Anolis sagrei: one gene and its partners. The protein of the gene in region 1 purifies or fractionates together with the protein of each later gene. This does not show direct contact. Links are inferred from orthologs where the notes say so. Each region holds a gene or a part of one and is shown in the gene's direction. Other genes may lie near its edges.

What was found.
Region 2: the proteins of SLC39A12 (region 1) and NAT14 purify together in Homo sapiens (co-immunoprecipitation; 3 studies listed by BioGRID and IntAct, counting the BioPlex papers as one, with this or other methods). This does not show direct contact. The link is inferred for Anolis sagrei from reciprocal best matches to the Homo sapiens genes SLC39A12 and NAT14.
Region 3: the proteins of SLC39A12 (region 1) and ABHD12 purify together in Homo sapiens (co-immunoprecipitation; 3 studies listed by BioGRID and IntAct, counting the BioPlex papers as one, with this or other methods). This does not show direct contact. The link is inferred for Anolis sagrei from reciprocal best matches to the Homo sapiens genes SLC39A12 and ABHD12.

What each region holds. Positions count from the first base shown.
Region 1 is NC_090026.1:106,344,428-106,351,432, forward strand, and holds the start of SLC39A12 (zinc transporter ZIP12), read left to right. Parts: upstream 1-3,991; 5' UTR 3,992-4,153; intron 4,154-7,005. UniProt on the Homo sapiens protein: Uniporter that promotes Zn(2+) import from the extracellular space to the cytoplasm across the cell membrane. The transport activity is temperature dependent. May play a role in neurulation and neurite extension.
Region 2 is NC_090026.1:25,166,133-25,173,416, forward strand, and holds the start of NAT14 (probable N-acetyltransferase 14), read left to right. Parts: upstream 1-4,238; 5' UTR 4,239-4,560; intron 4,561-6,466; 5' UTR 6,467-6,490; coding exon 6,491-6,571; intron 6,572-7,284. Other genes in the region: ZNF628 (zinc finger protein 628), read left to right, coding at 1-513. UniProt on the Homo sapiens protein: Probable acetyltransferase. May act as a transcription factor that regulates the expression of coproporphyrinogen oxidase by binding to a promoter regulatory element.
Region 3 is NC_090021.1:21,791,653-21,798,812, reverse strand, and holds the start of ABHD12 (lysophosphatidylserine lipase ABHD12), read left to right. Parts: upstream 1-4,102; 5' UTR 4,103-4,257; coding exon 4,258-4,373; intron 4,374-4,536; exon of another isoform or gene 4,537-4,581; coding exon of another isoform or gene 4,582-4,673; intron 4,674-7,160.

The sequences.
Region 1 (7,005 bases):
GGATTAATAATCTAAAATCCCACAGCTAATATAGGATCCTTTATAATTGGGGGCAAGATATAATTCGTTTCTTTAAAGACCACTTGGAGTACTGCCACAACAGGCCCTGGCCCCATAAACCAGCACCCCATGACTAGGAGGTCACTATGAACATCATTTTCCATCTCTCTGATCTCAAGTACATTAGAAATGCTTTGGTTGGATTGCTGTCTAGCAGTTATGACATCACAAGACCACTTTAAGATATTGTAATTGCTGAATAGGACAAAAGCCCATATTTCTTTACCACCCAGGGCTTTTATGGCCCCTAGTATCAATATACCTGCTTCCCTCCAAAATTCCATGTTCATATACAGACATCACTTTCATGTACACATGAATCACTCAGTTGTGTGATGATGACCAATGCAGTCAGATTTTGCAGAGATGAATTCCATATGTTCACTCACATCAGTGATGTGCAAAAACATTGAAAAGAGGTCAGATCCACTGTACAGACAATTATGGCAATTTTCAAAATTGAAATCAATTTCCTGGTTGGGGGAGGAAGATTTAATCTGACATATCTATGGGGGATACATTCCTGGCCTTTGTGTGGATATGGAAAGCCACAGATAATAGCAAACTCTATTGAAATGAAGTACTTTCAGATCAATAATACCATAGAGTCACACTTAGGACCTAAAATGCCCAGGGAAGATATATTTTGATGAACATGAATATATGAAACCACACATACTAGTCTTATGGATATGTGGGTCACACTGTATATGCTTTGTACTTATGCATGTGGCTTCTAAACCCTCGTATTATTTATGGCATCATTTCTGAGTTGGCAGGCTTGCTTCATGCACTCCACCATCATTTTGTTTTGTGTGGGGAATAGATCCTTCCAGTAATAATGTGTCCCCATGGATCTAATTATAAGAGATATGCACATGGCACGCTGATAGCATAGGGGATATCTGAAGTGTGCAGGTTCATTTCTTTGTTCTTCATATTAGCTGTGCTTACTAAGAAGGCTCAAAGCTCATTTACTAAGTTCATCCAAAGAAGTTATTCACTGGATCAGCAACAGCAATTGTGAGTCTCTATTGGAAATCTGCACATTACCAAGGGAGGCATCATTAAAATATCATCTCCCACGCCACCCTCTAAATAAAGCTAAGCTCTTTTGCTGAGCAGGCAGTACACAAAGAAGGCTTTCTGTTGCTAGCCAAGGACAGAGTTTGACAAATCTTGTTAATATTCTCATATTGTTCAGTTACTAAAAGTGGCAAAAAAGGAGCCACTCTGGAAAGACATGACTTGCTTTGGAATGCTTCATCTATGTTTTTCTTATTCTATTTATTTGTATTTATACTTATATGGGCCCTGAGCGGAGTACAGATGTCAAGGATTATAACAACCAAGCGTCCTGTTTATTTAAGCTCCCTGAGAAACTATCCCTTGAGGAACTAGTTACAGTTTGAAAGAGCTACATGAACCATCTACTCCACTCCAACCCCTCACCATCCACAACATACAACTAAAGCACTCGTAAAAGATGCCTCTCCAATCTATGTTTAGAGGCCTCCAAAGATGGAGAGTTGGCAGTAAGGACATTCTTCCTAATATTTAGGTGGAACTTCTTCATATAATTTGAATCCATCTTCTACATAACAAACCATCAGATACTTAAAGATAGTTGAAAATCTGGCAAAATGTCATGTAGTCGTGTAGTTGTACCAATCAGAAGTGTTTAAGTTTACAGCCATTGTTGTCAACTTTAACTTACGGTGATTCTATGAATGAGAAACCTTCAAGCCACCCTATCCTTAATGGCCTTGTTCAGGTCTTGCAGACTTGGCCATGGCTTCCTTGATTGAGTGTATCCATCTGGAATGTGGTTTTCCCCTTTTCCTACTGCCGGCTACCTTATCAAGCTATTGCATCCACTTGAAAACAATAGTACCCGTGCCTCCTGCAAGTTTACTGAGTCCTTGGGGTCATAAGTATATTTACATTTACAGAAAACCTTGTGTGAAGGAGCACTAGTTGTCTTAAAAAAAACTATAAATGCAGTCTGGTGGCTTTTATGTCTGTGGGGTGATGACTTCATTTTGAGTTTGTGTATATGCTTAACAAATTTGCCTGTGTGACCTGAGTGGAGCTGAATAATCATGATTCTTAGAATGCTGAGGGAAATGGGGGCAAAGAGAGAACATATAGAAGGAGAGGCTTGGCTGTTCACAAACTGGAGGCAGAGAGATCAAAACAGAGATTTAGTGGGAACTGATGGGATCATATAAAGAGGTGAATAGGAAGACCATGTAAGGAGTTGAGTAAGGGCTTAAGGGGAAAACTTTTAAATAGATAGTAGAGTGATACTGAAATAAACACAGGGTCAACTTACATGCTGCTTGAAGTTTGAATCTTTTCTTCTGAAATAAATCTTCCTTCTTATATCAGTTTACATCTCTATCTAGAAGCCTGTTATAAAAGGAGTTACAGGGTTCAGCAATTACTATCACAAGTTCAGCAGAAAACAGATTTGGCTGTTCAGTTTTATAGTCAGTTGCTAAACCCAGTGAATGGATTGTGGGGGCTAAGTGCATGATAGGATCCCAAATAGAAGTTTTTAGGTCAGCAACCTGAGGAGGAAAACTATCATGGGATACAGGCATGTAGCCGGGGGGGGGGGGGGGGCTCGGGGGGCTTCAGCCCCCCCCCCCCCCGAAATTCTCATGGTGGTTCGTGAAAAGGCCTTACTGGTGCATTATTTAAACTGTTATGTTTATTAATATCATGATTTGATCACCATTCTCAATATATCCCATATGTATGGGAGTATTGGGGTAATGATACTAAAGGTTTGCTAGGCTAGACCCTCTTTCACTCAGACTCACCCCCCCCGAAACTCAGCCCCCCCCAACCCCCCCCCTGAAATTTTTTTAGCCCCCCCCCCCCCCCGAAACGGAATCCTGGCTACGGGCCTGATGGGATAGATAGTGTTTGGTACCTTGAGAAGTTCCTTTAAAACAAAAATCTGCAGTGAATTCACATCTCCACTAATTCAGAGCCTTCATCACAAACCTATAAATATAATCAACTTTCATATTAGGTCCACTGGAAATTAAACAATTTCAAAACCATACTGGAAAATTATCTATTTTCCTTTATTTTTATTTAGTCTCAGGGTGAGCAAAACTACCTGAGGCAAACAACAAGATGGCATACCCTGCCCCAAGCCACTTACCACAATACAAGCCCCAAAACTTTATATTAGCAAAGCTGATGGTTAACGTTAGGTGGTGCGCTAATCAATTGAAACCAAAATTGATAGTATGACCTCTTGGCCAGTGAACATAACACACGAACACACAATCTTCTCTGATTAAGGAGATTTGAGAAGATCTAATACTGTGGGCCCTTAGTATACTATCAGCTAAGGTTTGGAAACAAGATCTTCCATGGATACCAAAATCTATGCCCAAGTCTCATTATATACAATGGCATGGTTAAATTGTGATCCCCAAATAAAACGGCAAAAACAAGGTTTGCTTTTAAGGGTATTTTGTTTAGTATTTTCGAACAGAAGATAATTGAATCCATGCATACAGAATCTATGGATAGGGAGCACCAACTATATAGAGAGTACCCTTCCTCTCTAAAGTTTCCTTCCTTAAAATGTGGGTGGGGAATCTACTTCCACAAAGTAACAGAAAATAGTTTCAAACATTTTTTTTCAGTTGTAAACAAGAGAAAACAATTTGCAACATAGGAGAGACACAGTAGTTTCAAATCTGTTGATTTTATCAACTTTTTTGTTCATTTCTGCATTAAAAGTATCAGCTTTTGCTTGATTAAGAGATATTAGCATAACATATACACTTAAAATAGTTAACTGCACATGTTTTGTAATGTGATTTCTAAAACTTGCCAGGAAGAGCTTGGTACAAATGTCAATCCACCTCCATTGTTACCTTAAAGTGCAGCCTTCCCCATAGCAACCAGAAACTTTTCGAAGCAGAAATAAACTAATCCTCCAGCTTGTGAAGCACCATCAAGGAATTTTAAAAACATTGGACTTCCCGGCAGCAAAACACTCTGTGGGATTCAAAAGACTGGAGAGTCAAAGGTATACAATCCTCCCCCTCCCCCTTCACAGAAGGTAAGAGGAAAGAATGCAAAAGTGAGGTTTCCTTCTAATCCTTCTTCCTATTGCTAACTTCTTTCTTAACATTGGGCTTACTTTCAAAGTATTTCAAAGCATTTTTTAAACCATCACAGGCTCCACACAGTGTTAACATTTCATTTGATTGTAGGCCAAGTGCTGCTTTGGCAGACTTTCATTACCTTGGTTTTTTTCCCCACAGCCTCTTAGCTTAGCTTTATTAAGCAAGAAAACCTACATTTGTTTGCAGGTCTGATGCGTGAACTGGATACCAGACATGGATGCTGTACAGATGCTGATTTCTAAGATTTTTTAATGTAAAATAGGTGACACCTCCTAACCAAAATAAGTACGGTAGTTTGCATTTTCATCTGGCAGCGATACTGTAATGGGATAGAGGGCAGGTTCGGTAATAATGTCTTCTGTAGCATCCTCAAATAAATTTGGTGTATGTTGTATTGTTTGAATTGTCATCAGTTAACTTTGACATTAAGTTTACGGGGGGGGGGGGCAGGATGATATCTTTGCATGGTGTTACTTTCAGCAAGGCAATAAAATTATTACATATAGTATAAAATGAATATCAAAACAAACAGAAACAGACCAGCAGAAAAATGATCCTGCAGATATGCAATGGCATGACAACGTTAGTAGTAATATTAACAGCTTCACTTGCCATTTAAGTTGTTGAGGCATTTTCCATTTTCCCCAAATATCCTCTTATGACAAATCATTGTGTATTGCTGAAAAAAGCTGTCCCATCCCCACTCCTCTAAAGCTTTTTTGGACCAAAGTAAAGAAAGGGATGGGAAAATGTTATTTCTAGTAATTTCTTGAACTTTGCAATTTTGTGAGAGAGGGGGGACATTTAAACTGCAATAGCTGCAAAGATTGTCATTTTCTACACATGCAGCAGAATGTTGTGGTATTTTCAATTGTACAAGATGATCCCTATGTATTTTCAAACACAAAAATCAATAGAAAAAAGCAGGGATAGAACTGTTTCCCCCAGTTTTCTTACTTCTCTTCCTTCCACAATGCAGCATTCTGAAAACCTACTGGTAGTTTGAAATTGGCAACTCCATTGCATCATCTCAGCATCCTACAGTGTCATCATGTGTCTGCCCAAGGATCAAAGTGAGGGAATCCATGGCTCTCCAGAACTTGCTGAACAACAGTTCCCATCTGCACTATGATGGAAGCAGCCATTTATTAATAAGCTAGGACAGCGTTTCTCAATCTGGGGATCAGGACCCCTGGGGGGGGGTCATGAGGGGGTGTCAGAGGGGTCACCAAAGACCATCAGAAAGCACAGTATTTTCAGTTGGTCATGGGGGCTCTGTGTGGGAAGTTTGGCCCAATTCTATCATTGGTGAAGTTCAGAATGTTCTTTGATTGTAGGTGAACTATAAATCTCAGCAACTACAACTCCCAAATGTCAAGGTCTTTTGTCTTTTCCCCAAACCCCACCAGTGCTCCCATTTGGACATATTGAGAATTCAAGCCAAGTTTGGTCTTGATCCATCATTGTTTGATTCCATAGTGCTCTCTGGATGTAGGTGAACGAAAACTCCAAAAACTCAAGGTCAATGCACACCAAATGTGACGGCGCGTGTGGCGCCTCATTTATTTGGAACTGTTAGTTGCAGGATTTTTAAACTGCCATTTTATTTCTGTCTACCTTGTACATGTATAGTTAAATTTCATTGGTTACTATAGCTGTCAATTTATTGTTGTTGTTCACCAATTGGTTTGTTTCCCCAGTTCAGTTGTTTAGGCTCCGCCCCTTCCAAGGGAGAAAGGGAAGGTTTCTCCCTCACCTTTTTTACCTCAGTAAAAGACTCATTGGATGGACGTGTCCAAAAGCTTGGCCCAAAAGCCCCTGGTCAAGGCATTTTTTACTATCAGTTCTTAGGTTTATTTTCCCTGAGTCTTATTCTTTATGTTCAGACCACCCTGAATAGAATTGTGAAGATCTCAGGCGCCTTCACACCGGTTCTGTGGCACCATAGGAAGGTCTTGTCCTTCAGCTTAGGCCACTGAACTGGGGTTGTGGTTTGCTCCGGCATCCATAGCCATTGAGAGAGAGGGAACAGGAAAAGCTTCTCAGCTTGTTACTCCTGGGACCCTGGACTTAGAGTTTATAAAGTATCTTTTCCCAGTTGAAACATAAAGTTTGTGTCAAAGAAAGAGAACTGTTAACAATAAACATCATTTTGAGTTAACTGTTGTGTTCTGGTCCTTGGGAGTTCCAGTTTCCCTAAAGGAGGGCAAGAAAGCAATCCCCTGGGGAAAGCAGTCACGTCCATGCCTCTTTCTCTATAGCCCCAGGCGCGACGGCACACCAAACCTTTCCAGCATTTTCTGTTGGTCATGAGCATTCTGTGTGCCAAGCTTGGTTGGATTCCATCATTAGTGGGGTTCAGAATGCCCAGCAACTACAACTCCCAAATGACAAAATCAGTTGTCATCGCGCCCCCCCCCCCCAACTCCACTAGTATTGAATTTTGGGCATATTGGGTATTTGTGCCAAATTTGGTCCAGTGAATGAAAATATATTTAGCATATCAGATATTTACATTACGATTCATAACAGTAGCAACAGAAATAATTTAAAGTTTGGGGGTCACCATAACATGAGGAACTGTATTAAGGGGTCGTGGTATTAGGAAAGTTGAAAACCACTGACCTAGAAGGAGGAAGGTTGACAGCCCTTCCCTAGATGTTCCAATACTAGAGTAGAATCTGTGTATGGCTTCCTTGGTTCAGTAGCTCATAAATTCTCCTTACTGAATGTTGGAAACTGGTTTGTAAGCATGTTAACTCCACCGGTAATAAGCAGTCTTCAT
Region 2 (7,284 bases), about 81 Mb from region 1:
GGACCCACCTTGTGGGTGCAGAACTCTCCGGGAGAGAGAGTGGTGCAGAACTCTCCGGGAGATGAGCTGTTAGGACCAGGGGCTGAAGTGGAAAGCCTTGAGGGTGTACAGGACATGCATTTTGAGACACTACAGACTGAGGAAGGGCTTCAAAAGGTCTTGGTGCTGAGGGGTGCAGGTGGGGAGCAGACCCGGCTGTGTGTGCAGGAAGTAGAGGATATCCAGACTGTACAGGAACTTCCTGGCCTTCAGGTGCAGGGTTCTGAGGGTAGCTCAGGGTCTGGGCAGAACCTTCTCATCATTCGCAGTGCTCAGGGAGAACAGACTCTTCAAGTGTTAGAGAGTGTCCCTACACTGCAGGTGAGCAGTCCGGACAGCACACAGCCTTCCCTCGACAACAACAGCACTTCCCAAATGGTGCAGCTTCTGCAGAGTCCAGTAACATCCCAAGGCCTGCCCTCCATTCAGATAGTTCAGGCGGTGCCCAGCATGCAGCTTGTTCACACATTCTGAAAGTGGATGTGTCTCTGCATACGTTGTGCTAGTGCATCAGGTCTCGCAAGTAAGCAAAGAGGAGCAGATCCGGTCTACCAGTTGCTAGAATCAGTGCTGCTCAGGGTGGATTCTCTCTAGGCAACGGATGGGATTGACATCTCTCCCAGTGAGCTTGGTTTAGGTTCTTCTCAATGAAGTCTTTCTCCGCAAAAGCATGCTCATGGCTGTTCCCCTGACTGCTCATGGGTATGCTGCTGCTTCTACTGCCCCTGCAGCCACAGTGGTATCCTCTGCCCAAGCACTTGTATACCCCTATATTGCATGAAAGAAAAGTGTAACCTGATGAGCACTCTGTCTGCCTCAGATCCACCCCTGCTTCCCTGTGCTTGAAATATTTTGTTCTGCAAAGATCTAAATGTACATTCAATGTGATGGTTAAGACAGCCAAGACTTTCATGTTTCTTGCCACATAAAACAGAAAATGTGATCTGTGGGAAGCAACTGCATGTCTGGCTTCTCTCACATTTCCTTTCCATGTCACAGCATCAGACCAGAATGCTCTGGAACATTATGTAATGGTGTAAACTCCTTTTATGTAACTGAACAATGGATCGTTTTGGGGTTTTTTTGGGGGGGGGGGGGAGGTCTTCCATGGGGTCTGGATGCGGTGAGGGGCAGTTTCATAAATTTGTCACAGGCTCCATTTCCCAGTCATATGGTCATTTTCACTTACGTCCTTCTTGTCTGTTCTTCCCCATTCCAGCCCTATCTTCACCATATGGAGAACCACTTTTCTCAGTGGATCTCAGTTCCTGGTGCTAACAAACACAAGCAGGCCACAGACTCTTTTGCCCAAGAAGAAAAATAAAAGACTGATTTGAAGCACTTTTGCCTTTCTTTCAGTCCTGTTCTTGAATGTATCATGGATGGACAGGGTTCACATCTCTAATAATACATGGGTTTCTGCTCCCTTAAAATCTGAGGTGTTACAGAATCAATTATATCAGTTTGATACCATTGTAGCAGTCTGCTCTAAGTAATCCTTGGATTTGTAGTTCAGTGAGGGACTGAACTGCAAGAGAAGACTAGTGAATTTGGCTGAAATCACCATTTTGTGGATTGCTGTGTAGGTGAGTATATTAAGAGAATTGAGCTACAGTATTCACATTGATCCGTGAATAAGTTGACTGAGTTTTTTTGGAATGTTTTGATTAACATTTCTAGATTTATATCAGTATATAGGGTAACCAAATGTAAAATGGTATCTCAAAAGTCAGAGCAAGTTATATCTTACATACTCTACATTGGGATAATTTGCATATGCAAGCAGAAATCTCAAAGCACAAAAATGTGATTAAGGTGACCAACTCAAAAATATTTACAGGTGAAGAATACTAAGGTAAGCAATTACTGCAAAGCCAGAATATAATAAATGGTTTTTAAAATTGCAGTTCTACATGGTATTAAGGAACATGAGCTGTTGCAAATAATACATATTTATCTACCAGTAAATCCTGATCTGAATGTACAAGAAAACACCAGAAAGCAGGAGTGTTCAGAAATGCTTCAGAGAATGGTATGTACGAGATGAAAACTCCACGATATGCCTCAAAGCAGCAAAAAGGAACTTTTTGGCCCTTTACATGTTTTTTCCTATTGCACCAACTGGTCACGTACAGTGCAGGCAATGGTAAGGAATTGTATTGTCTTCATATAACTTCACTTGTTCCAGCGGTGAGTCCAAGCATAGGAAAAGATGGAGGGCGGGGGGGGGGGGGGGGGAGAGTCCTTTTGGCTCAAATTAAGTCCTATAGGCATCCTTTAATTTACATTCCTTCCAGATTTAAGAACATAACCTAGTAATTCAGGTTTTCCTGTTCATTTCTGTGCTTATTTTGGGTTTTTCCCCCAGCAGTAGTTACTATCCCATTACAACCCACAGCTGGCAGCTTATATTAAGCCCAATAGTTGAAGTGGATGCAGGTCTTGGGCTTTTGGATAGCTATTTTGGTGTGGCCAGTGGTTTCTGGCAGATCAATTTTAGGTCTCAATAGCTTATGGTCAATTCAGGAAACGTGTCAGCATAACGACTACATTTCATGAAGTGCAGCATGGATGCAGCAGACTTTTTTCTGAAAACTCCAATGTCAAAACCTGGAGTGGCCGTTCCTATTTCTGGCTGGTTAAAAATCTTGTGTTCCTCATTTATAAATAGTATTTATTATAAAGCACAGTCAGCCCTCCATTTGCTGAGTTGAGGGGCACAAGATCCTTATGAAATTGAAAAGCCACACATTTTAAAAATGATAATTTCTTACCTGAGAGAAATTTTCTGTGTCCCCTGGCATGACTCTGCTCAACCTCTACTGGAAGTTGTATATAGCATCACATTGGAGGATCTAGATATTCATAGAAATAACATTTTTATCAAACCTATGAATAATCAAATCTGCAAAAGTTAAAACCACAAATGTGAAGGACAGACTGTACTGACTCTTCATTAAAAATTAGGGGAAAGCACATTTAGAGGAACAACACTTAAACCAATTCTCCTATGGGCTGTGTATGTTATGCAAATGTTAAATGCGACATTTCGGAGTAAGGTAACATCTCACAGATATGAGCAAGATGGGGTAAAGCATAGTAGCCGCTTCTGACATTACCTTTTTTGCATGTCAGATTTCCACAAAGTAACTTTTTAAGATACCAACATGAATCACTACCTGGTTCTGGCCACAGGAGGGTGCATTCAGACCATACAGAGGCAATGCTAGCTTGCTTGCTTAGGTGATCCCTTGTAGCCCAAGGATTATGGTCCTCCAAGTCTTAGTGGTGGGTCCATAGGTGGCTGTGGAGCCCTATTCTTGATCCGCATGTTCTTCTGCAGTGTGGACATCAATTACAAGGAGGAAGGCAGTCCTGGTCAGGGTTGGCTTGACGCATCTTCCTCTTGACACGTTTCTTCCTTTTGCCCTTCATTTGTGCTTTGAATTCTGCAGCACTGCTGGTCACAACTGACCTCCAGTTAGAGTGCTCAAGGGTCGGGGCTTCCCAGTTCTCGGTGTCAATGCCACAGTTTGTTTTTAAGGTTGGCTTTAAGCCCCTCTGTAAATCTCTTTTCCTGTCCACCAACATTACATTTCCCATTATTGAGTTAGGAGTATAGTAACTGCTTTGGGAGATAATGATCGGCCATTTGGCCAATGTGGCCAGTTCAGTGAAGTTGATGACATAGGAGCATTGTGCAGCTCTTTAAAACGTTTAAATCACCTGCAGAGATTTGATTTTTTAAGGGACATAACAAAACTGGTTGCAGATGCTAATGCCAGTGCCATGTTTTTCCCCCCACAAATATTTTGAACCACATCTTCAGAGGTTGTGACAAACTATATTCCACACAGCCATATAATCCAGAATATTATGGCAGATAATCCACAATATGAGTTGTGGGGTTTTCAGGCTGTATGGCTATGTTCTAGAAGCATTCTCTCCTGAAGTTTCGCCTGCATCTATGACAGACATCCTCAGAGGTTGTCAGGTCAGGAGAGAATGCTTCTAGAACATGGCCATACAGCCCAAAAAACCTACAACAACCCAGTGATTCCGGCCATGAAAGCCTTCGACAATACAATTCACAACATCTTCTTTGAATTGGGTTATCTGAGTTCACACTGCCATATAATCCAGTTCAATGTGGATTTTATACAGCTGTGTGGGCCTTCATTTCAACACTTTCAGCGTTCTCTCCTTCTCTACCATAAAAGGGAATGCTTGACAAGTGCCAGCTACTACAGCTAAGGCTTCACGCAGCTCAAGAGGCCTCGTTTCGTCCCCGTAGCAACTGTTACTAAGGTACAGAAGAGCGCGAGAAGCCGGAAACGGGGCGCATGCGCACACCGCTAGAGCACACCTGCTGCAGGGCGAGAGCGGTCGGAGTGAGAGGGTCGGCACCCCCCTCCCTCTTTTTTCCCTCTCTCTCTCTCCATGGGGGCGGGGCCTTCGGGAGACTCTGGGAAATTCCATGTCGCTCTGGAGGGGTGAGAGCAGCTCCTTTCTGCAGGCTGGGTGAGTCCATTGTCCGGGGAGGGGGGAGTGTGAAGGGTTCTGTGCTAAATCGAGCGCTTCTATTTTTGTGCAGGGCGTTTTGTGGTTGTTAATGGGCCATATTTTGCAAAGTCGATTTATTATTGCAGAATGGGGTTTATTATAAAATTGCAATTTCCCATGGTAGTCCTTTATTTTATTTCATTCTCATCCACTAGCATTGTTTATTGGGGGGGGGGGGGGGAATCCCCTATTTTGGGCTAATGCTGAGCTGTCTGCACAAAGTGATCATAACTGTAAATAAGCGGATCCAATGATTTAAATATAATGCATACAGGATTATGCAATACCATACATTTTGAGTATCTCTTATCCTAAAATACTCCAAAATTGCCCATGAGATAGTGATGCCTTTGCTTTCTGATGGTTCAGTCTAAAAAAACTTATTTTATTCCACAAAATTATAAAAAAATTTTTTCTTACCTTTAGCCTATATGTCTAAGGCATATGGAGCCTGATTTCCCAAGATATTTCATTTTGTATTTGCAAGTATAGTAGACTCTCAATTGACCGCAACTCAAGCAACTGCTAATAATAATAATAATAATAATAATAGAAATACTTTAAGTATGCAAGCATTTTTAGAATACAGTAAAACCCTGTTAACATAAGTTTGTCTTTATTTGTCTTCATTTGCTTTTAATTACTGCCTTTTAGTATTAAGATGAAAGTCAATGCAGAGTTTATGGCGTGATAGTAGTATGGGGTATAGTATATAGGCCTATTTTTAATAGTAACTCTCAATCAACTGCAACTACATTTAGCCAGACAGCTACCAATCCCCGTGAGTTCCAATTAACTGAGAGACTACTGTAGAAGTTCCCAACCCTTTTTTGACCATGGACCACTTGTCCAAGGACCACTTTGACCATGGACCACATGACCAGGGACTACTTTGACCAGGGGCCACTTTGACCAGGGAACACATGACTAGTGACCACAAGCTCTCCCCTTCTAACATGCCCGTTGCATTGGCACTATAAGGGGTTTTCGTGAGACCAGTCACTCTTGTTGCCACGTGATTTCGAGGCAATGGTGTAGTAATGGTGAGGCTGCATACCATATTTTCATTCTTGTGGACCACAGGTGGTCCATGGACCACAGGTTGGGAACCACTGGTCTACTGTACTGCAAAATCTGAAAAGATCTAGAATTCAAAGCACTTCTGGTCCCAGTGATTTTGAATAAGGGATACCGAACCATCAAGTTAGCATTGCATATATTCTGTTTCACATTACTTTTCAAGATGATCCTGTGTGGTCAGTGCTCCCAAGTTAAAAATCCAAAAAAATAAATAAAATTATTTGTCCCAAATTATTTAGCTAAAATATTCACTTTTCAGCTGTACCTGTTTAATACGTTCGCAATACAGTATGTATTGTGAAAAGTATTAAATACAGCATTAATTAATTTGAGATGTTTTTGTTAGCATTTGCTCACCTCTCCTAGAATTCTATGCATTTCCATAGGAAAATAGATAATAAAAGGGTGAGATGTTGGACTGGTAGTCTTTCCAATGTAAGAGTATGTAAGATAGAGTTACAAGCTGGGTAGATGCAGGGAATGCCGTGGATGTAGCGTACCTGGATTTCAGTAAGGCCTTTGACAAGGTCCCCCATGACCTTCCAATGTGGGCTAGGCAAAACTACGGTGAGGTGGATCAGTAATTGGTTAAATAGACGAACCCAGAGGGTGCTCACCAATGCTTCCTCTTCATCCTGGAAAGAAGTGATGAGCGGAGTGCTGCAGGGCTCCGTCCTGGGCCTGTTCAACATCTTTATTAATAACTTAGATGAAGCCAATGGGAGGCTCTTTCTTCTTCCATCTCAAATTTTCATCAACGTGGTCAACATTTCTTTCCTTTCAGGTGCTGTTTCTGTTTGCTGCCAGCATGCCTACACTGGAACCTGAGCAACTGGCCATCAGGGAAATGAGAGAAGAGGAGGCACCAATGGTTTTGGAGCTTCTGAAGGTGAGATGAATTGTTTCACCTACATCTTTTCTTTTCAGGGATGTCTGGATTGTATGCCCAGGTAACTGCTAGGTTGACAGAAGCTGGGCCTAACAGTGGGAGCTCACCCTGCTCCCCAGATTTGAACCACCAACCTTTCAGTCAGCAAATTCAGCAGCTCAGCAGATTAACCTGCTGTGCCTCCAAAGGGGCCTGGTTCTTTCTTAACTCCATGCAAATTGTAAGAAAAGGAATGGGTGCCAACCCTAGGTAGAGAAGGCGCAGATCCGTAGCTTGGGGGTCCTCGTGGACTCAATGCTGTTGCTTGATGCTCAGGTGTCGGTGGTGGCTGGGAGGGCCTTTGCACAACTCAAACTTGTGCACCAGCTGCTGCCTCGTGAAGTCTGACTTGGCCAGGGTGGTCCACGCCTTGTTTACATACAGACTGGACTACTGCAATGCACTCTATGTGGGGCTGTCCTTTAAGACGGCCCGGAAGTTTCAACTGGTACAATGGGCAACAGCCAGGCTCCTTACTGGAGCAAACTATAGGTAGCATACAATACCCTTATTAAAACAGTCTCATTGGCTGCCGATAAATTGCCGAGATAAATTCAAGGTGCAAGTCATGACCTATAAAGCCCTAAACGGTTCAGACCCCGCCTATCTCTGCGATCGCATCTCCTTCTATGAACCGGCATGAACTTCTGGGAAGGCCCTCCTTTTGTTCCCAC
Region 3 (7,160 bases), on another chromosome or scaffold:
GTGTGAGAGAGAGACTTAACCATAGATGTGGGTGAAATGTCAGGAGGGAATGCTTCTGGAACATCCCTTCCTTAGGGTTTTGAAGAAGGAGGTAAGAGGGAGCAGCAGGATTTCTCTGGGAGATAGAGGAAAGAATTCACAGAATACTGGCCTCTTAGAAGATGGGAGGGGAGGGAGAAGAGAGAGAGAGAGAGAGAAAGGATGGGTTTCAGAGACATTTCACAAGCACATGGAATTCTTTGGTGAGGTCTGGTTCTTAGAGAGAAAAGGGGAAAAGCAGAGAGAGGGAGAGAGAGAGAAAGAGAGAGAGAGAGAGAGAGAGAGGGAGAGAGAGAAACCCAGCAAACTTTATTTGGCAAAAGGAAACAGGAGCAGGAAAAAGGTCCCCCCCCCCCCTTTACACCTCCCTTTGTTTGCAAGAGGAGAGAGGGAGGAGGGGTTTGAAAGCAAAAAGGGGGAGTTGGAGAGTGAAGAGAAAAACAAAGGAAAGGCAGGGACATTGGTGACTGCCCCTGAAAATGGGTTTTGTAGTTGCACAGAAGAGAGGGGGAGAGGGAGAGAGCTCTTGGTTCAGGGAAACCAGGCGAGAGAGAGAGACTTTTGCAAGGCAGCTGAGTCACATCAGTGGCAGGGTCTCTCCTGGTGAGGGGAAACACTGTTTATTATAAATAAACAGGCACTGAAGATTCAGCTTTTGAAAGAAAGGGATGTAGTGGCTTGGTGAAGGAGGGAATGAGCAATGCCTCCCTTTTCCATCTGAAGGAAGGAAAAAGGTGGCACAGGAGAAAGCAGGAGAGGAGGAGAGCAAAGAATTTCCCTGATCATTTCCTCAAGGAGCAGAAAAAAAACAACAAACAGAGGGGCATATAAATGCAGACATATCATAAATAGGGAATAGGGAAATGGAGGGGTTGGGAAGGGAAGGAGGGAGTCAGGGAGATTGGGTAAAGGGAAATGGGAATGGGATGGTAGGGGAATAAGCAATTTCTTCCAAAGGGAGAGGGTGAAGGGGTCTGGAGGGGGTTTCCTGGGGGTTGGGGCTCTGTAACCTTCCCCTTGCATGGTCGGAGTTGGTCGCAGCTACCCCCCTTCCGCCTCCCACCGGCACATGGTAAAAAAGCATGAGGCAAAGGCGGTTTCGGCCCTCTTGGCCCCCTCACAGCGATCCGACTGCCATGAGGGGCCACGAAACTCCACCTGCTGAGGGCCCGGAGGGCCACCTCTCCATGCGATTTTTTTACCCTACTGGCCTGCGTCGGCGACGCAACCCTGCCCCATTCCGCCAGTATCTTCCCAAAAGATGTTTCTGATGAAGCAGGACGTTTGATCCCAGAATAACATGCGCCCATCTCTCTTGATAGCCCCACACTGAAGTGGCTAATCAGGGTAGCCCCCCCAACCGCTGGCAGGCTAGAGCCTGAACGGTCCCCTAGCAAGAGAGCCCGAGGCGATCAGCCCTTGGCAGCTAGGCAGTCCGAAAGGGAAGGGCTCCCTCTCCAGCGTAGCTCCAGCCAAGGCCGCAAAAGCGAGCTGAGTTGCTATTCTAGGCCTCAAACGTGGATGTTCGCTACCTCCCGCCAGGAATTTGTTACCGAGACCTAGAGAATCCCTCCCCAGTGGGCCGACTCCGAAGCTGGTTCAGAAAGCCTAGAATCCCCTCCCACCTGGCAGCCAAGGCAGCCCGCGGTTGGCTTCTTACCCGTCCGGACGTTTTCTTCCCCCCTTTCCGCGTCGGTCGCTCCTCTTCCTGGAAGTCCTTAGATCAAGGCTTCCCTGGCGCTCCTTTGTGCTGAAACCCTAGGTCAGAGCTTGGGAGGAAGTGGCTGCGGGAGAATTTGTAGTTTTGGTTAGCTGGTCAAATGAAAGTCCGAATTGGGAGAGGCGCCTCTTTTCCCAAGCCGTTCCTCCTTCGCTGCTGGCCCAAAGAATCAGACCAAGGCGCCTGCTTGAGAATTTAGGCTATAATTTAGTCTGGAACCTCAAGCAGCAGTCCCTTCGTGGTAAAGCCAAATGATATCGAGCTCTTTTGGGGGGTTCTCCCAGCGAGGGGAGACCCAAAGGACCTCGAATGGGGTCCTGACCTTGGCGAGCGGCCAGCGGATGCCAATTCAAAAAAACGCAAAAACGTTGAAAATCAATCTCGCCAGAGGCTGAAGAGGCAATCTGCGACCGAGGCGTTTATTTAGCGATTCAGCTGAAAAGGATGCATTACAGGGATATTTCCTCTATAAGCATACAGTACAGTGATTTTCAGGCATATTTATACAGACAGAACAAAGGAATCCTGGCTTGAATCTCCCGCCCGCCTCCTGTCAGTCCCCTCTGTCCTGGTTGGCCGGCTCTGGAACAGCTGGGAGGAGGCTTGGCCGCTGGTCCCACCCTCCCTCCAATCGCCGGCCGCTGTTGCCTCCAGAGGGCCAATCAGAGCCCTCGGAGCGCCTCCAGAGATTGTCCAATCAGCGGCCAGGAGGCGGGCTCTAGTTTGACAGCGCAGAGGGGCGGAATGCCTGGGAGGCGTCTGCCAGCTGATGGAACACCTTTTATCTCTTCACGGCAGGGAGGCGGATGGGGAGAACAAGGGATTTCCTGGGTCCTGATAAAAGATGTGTATAGGCAAAAAGGGTGGCTATGGGTGGTGTCTGGATCTTCAACCTTGTGGGCAAAGAGATCCTTTGTCACAAGGGAGCATGCACAAACACCACAATTGGTGTTATCAGTCTGTTTTTCCGGGCTTTTGGCTGACAAAATCTCTGGCTTTTGTTTGTCTGAACTCTGAAAAACGAAGCCATAGATTTGCCAGTATTTTCCATGCAATGTCAATATGAATGGAGTTCCTTCCAAGGAAATTGGATTTCCTTAACTGTAATCCCCTGGTCACATATTCTTTTATAGGGTAAAGTTCAAGAGGGGAAAGGCAAGGAAAGGGTGAGGGTGCACCTCATTCCATTACATTCCATATTACACACACTTCATACATATATTCTTTACAGTCTTTCATAACTCATAGATTTCATGAAAAGGGTCCCCATCCCCTCCCCATCCCAGCAAAGTTTATTAGAAAACCCACAGCAATTTAATAAAGGCAATCAGCAGAGTTCCTGAGGTATGATCCTTTGCAACAAGGGCATGCACCCACAGGCGGGGGCCATGCTTCTCAAGCGGCTTGGTTTGGAGTTCATAGAGGAAGTCCGTGACGCTAGGGCACCAAGTCAGTCAGAGAGGGCAGAGAAAGTCCTCAAGGAATCCGCAAATGGTGGAGAGTGGGGCAATGTCCTTTGGAGAACTACATTTCCCTGATCTTTGGGCCAGGGTCCAGTGCACAAGCCAGAGAATTCACAGAGAGGAAACAGGAACCCAGTTATGTGTGCTGGGTCAGGAAGCAGCAGAATCCATTGTCTGGCCCTTGGCGAACTACAAATGCTTGGGGGGGAAGATGCTCTGCATCAGGTTGCATTGCAGCAGGTGGTCAGTGGTTTGCTCTTCTCCACACTCGCATGTCGAGGATTCTACTTTGTAGCCCCATTTCTGAAGGTTGGCTCTGCATCTCGCGGTGCCAGAGCGCAGTCTGTTCAATGCCTTCCAAGTTGCCCAGTCTTCTGTGTGCCCAGGAGGGAGTTTCTCATTTGGTATCAGCCATTGGTTGAAGTGCTGGGTTTGAGCCTGCCACTTTTGGACTCTTGCTTGCTGAGGTGTTCCAGCGAGTGAACACACATATATATACATACATATATGTCATCAAAAAATCATTGTAGTAAAGTATGAAATAATAGTTTATAATATATTCTCACTTGAGCAGTGGCTGGGATTTTCAATGAATGATATTTTATATAATTTTAAAATGCTGCTTTATGACAGGAAGAAAAACACTTATTGGAAGGATAAAAGTCTGTTTGGTGAAGGCTTGAAGGGAAAAGATAGGTGACGTTTTGTTTTCCTTTGAGCTCTTGAGTCTTCGGCGGCCATCTTGGTCCCGGGCTGGGACGTCACGTGACAACGCTGAGGCTTCGGCGGCCACCTTGGTCCCGGGCAGTCAAGCGGCAGTGCCTCCTCTCTCTGGGCTGAGGCAGGGAGGGAGGCAGGTCACGTGGCTGGGGGGGGAACCGCTTCTGATTGGTGGAGCCTGGGAGGTGCCTCTCACTCGCCCTGCCCTGTTGCTGGGCTGAGAGGATGTAGCGGCGGAGAGCGTCTTCCCTCAGAGCGAGTCTGGGCTTGCTTGGTATTACTGCCGCTGCTGCTGGTGGGAACCTCCTCGCCGGGATGAGAAAGCGGAACGAGTCCGTCACGTTGGAGCATGAGCCTCTGGAGAAGGGCTTCAGCCTGAGGACGAGCCTGCGTTTGCCGGGCAGCGACGGCATGAAGCGGACGCTCGGCAGGTAAGGCTTCAGAGGAGAGAGAGTGAGTGAGAGAGTGAAGGCCGCGTTTCCACGGCAACGGGCGGCCCACTCGCTGTTCTCTCTATCCCCCCCCCCATCATCCGGGCCCTCGGGTCGCCATGGCAACCGTCGCATCGCCCCTGCGAAATGCCCTTGGCGCTGTTCTGATAATGGAGGAAGGACCATTCTAGGCAGGATCCGTTAGGCGATGGAGTCCTGCCTGAAAGGGCGGCCGGGCCCCTTCCTCGCCTTTTGCCGCATTGCCTTCGCCGACTGCAGGCCCAGGAAGGGCTGCCTCAGGTGCGCCAGGGGGTGGGTCGGCGTCCAGGCCTTTTCCCCCGTTGCCTTGATTCTTGCTCTGGCTCTGCCTCATAACAATTGAACGGGCTTAGGCCAGAGCCAGGACTGGGCCAACTTGGGCCCTCCGGGTGTTTTGGACCCCAACTCCCACCATTCCTAACAGCCTCAGGCCCTTTCCTTTCCCCCCTCAGCCGCTTAGGTCGTTGTCTTCTTCTTCTTCTTAGTATATATATATATATATATATTTGTATTATTATTAGCATTATTATATCTTTGTGGAGGTGGGGACTGGAGAACGGACCAAAGTTTGGAAGATACAATCATATAGTCTGGACCTAAGGCATATAGAACTTAATAAAGCATAACCGACATTTTGAATTGATTGTCGAAGGCTTTCATGGCCGGAATCACTGGGTTGTTGTAGGTTTTTCCGGGCTATATGGCCATGTTCTGGAGGCAATTCTTCTCCTGACGTTTCGCCTGCATCTATGGCAAGCATCCTCAGAGGTAGTGAGGTCATAGAATCATAGAATCAAAGAGTTGGAAGAGACCTCATGGGCCATCCAGTCCAACCCCCTGCCAAGAAGCAGGAATATTGCATTCAAATCACCCCTGACAGATGGCCATCCAGCCTCTGTTTAAAAGCTTCCAAAGAAGGAGCCTCCACCACACTCCGGGGCAGAGAGTTCCACTTCTGAACGGCTCTCACAGTCAGGAAGTTCTTCCTCATGTTCAGATGGAATCTCCTCTCTTGTAGTTTGAAGCCATTGTTCCGCGTCCTAGTCTCCAGGGAAGCAGAAAACAAGCTTGCTCCCTCCTCCCTGTGGCTACCTCTCACATATTTATACATGGCCATCATATCCCCTCTCAGCCTTCTCTTCTTCAGGCTAAACATGCCCAGCTCCTTAAGCCGCTCCTCATAGGGCTTGTTCTCCAGACCTTTTATCATTTTAGTCGCTCTCCTCTGGACAGGTCTACCTCACTACCTCTGAGGGTGCTTGCCATAGATGCAGGCGAAAAGTCAGGAGAAAAATTGCCTCCAGAACATGGCCATATAGCCTGGAAAAACCTACAACAACCCATTTTGAATTGAGCCCAAGACCAAACTGGATAATCTTGGGCATAATTTATTTATTTACTTCATTTCTATCCCGCTCTTCTCATCCCTCAGGGGACTCAGAGCGGCATACATCATACATCTAGACAAAAATTCAATGCCTCATTATACAATAACCATATAAAACATAACAAAATCACTAGAAACAATAAGCATATAAATACCATTTAAAACTGTTGTACACATTAAACCATAATAATGCCATGCCTCTTAATTTAAAACAGGCCTGGGCAAACTGAGGCCCTCCAGGTGTTTTGGACTTCAACTCCCACCATTCCTAACAGCCTCAGGCCCTTTCCTTTTCCCCCTCAGCCGCTTAGGTCTTCTTCCTCCTCTTCTTCTTCGTATCATTCTTTTGTATTATTATTATTAGTAGTAGTAGTAGTATTATATCTTTGTGGATGTGGGGACTGGAGAACAGACCAGAGATAGGAAGATATATCTTTGTGATAGTCTGGACCTAAGGCATATAGAACTTCTTAAAGCATAACCAACATTTGGAATTGAGCCCAAGACCAAACTGGATAATTTTGGGCATAATTCATGCCTCTTGATCTAAAGCAGGCCTGGACAAACTTGGGCCCTCCAGGTGTCTTGGACTTCCAACTCCCACCATTCCTAACAGCTTCAGACCCCTTCCTTTTCCCCCTCAGCCGCTTAACAACACATTAGTCACATTCCTCTATGTATAACATTAGTCAAGCGAATTATTATTATTATTATTATTATTATTATATTTATTTATACCCCGCTTATTTCTCCTGAAGGGGACTCAACATATTCAATGCATATTCAAGTTAAAACCATAGCACTTCCTGACTTGATCTTAAAAGCCTTCATCTTTGAAAGCTTGCCTGAAAAAATGATAGTTGGAGAACACATACAAAAGAAAGAAGCTTTCTCACAGCTATAAAACATTTTGATAATCATTTGCCAATTTTAGCACTTATCTACACTACAGTTCCCACATTTTTCTTTCTCATGGTACTGAAATTAATGTTGATTTGTTTTTTTACCTATTTAAATATTTAACTTCCATCAAATATTTATGCCCTGCTTTGTCAAATGTAAAAAAAATGCCATCCCATCAGATTCATGTATGTTTCTTCATTGGATTATTAAATTTACACAGATTGCAAAGGATTCTAATTTTTCTGGATTATTCTTCTTGAATTTGGATAGTGAATATTTTGTAGATGTTTATGTACAGGTCTCTGTGTAATCTTCAAAAATCCTTTAGTTTTGTCTCATTTAAGTCCATGCAGGACATATTGGAAAGTTTCTCAATGTATGAGAACACGATTTTAATTTAGTGAAGGCTTATTGGTTTCTTTGTGGTATGCAGATTTAAGCTGTTTTAAACATTGACA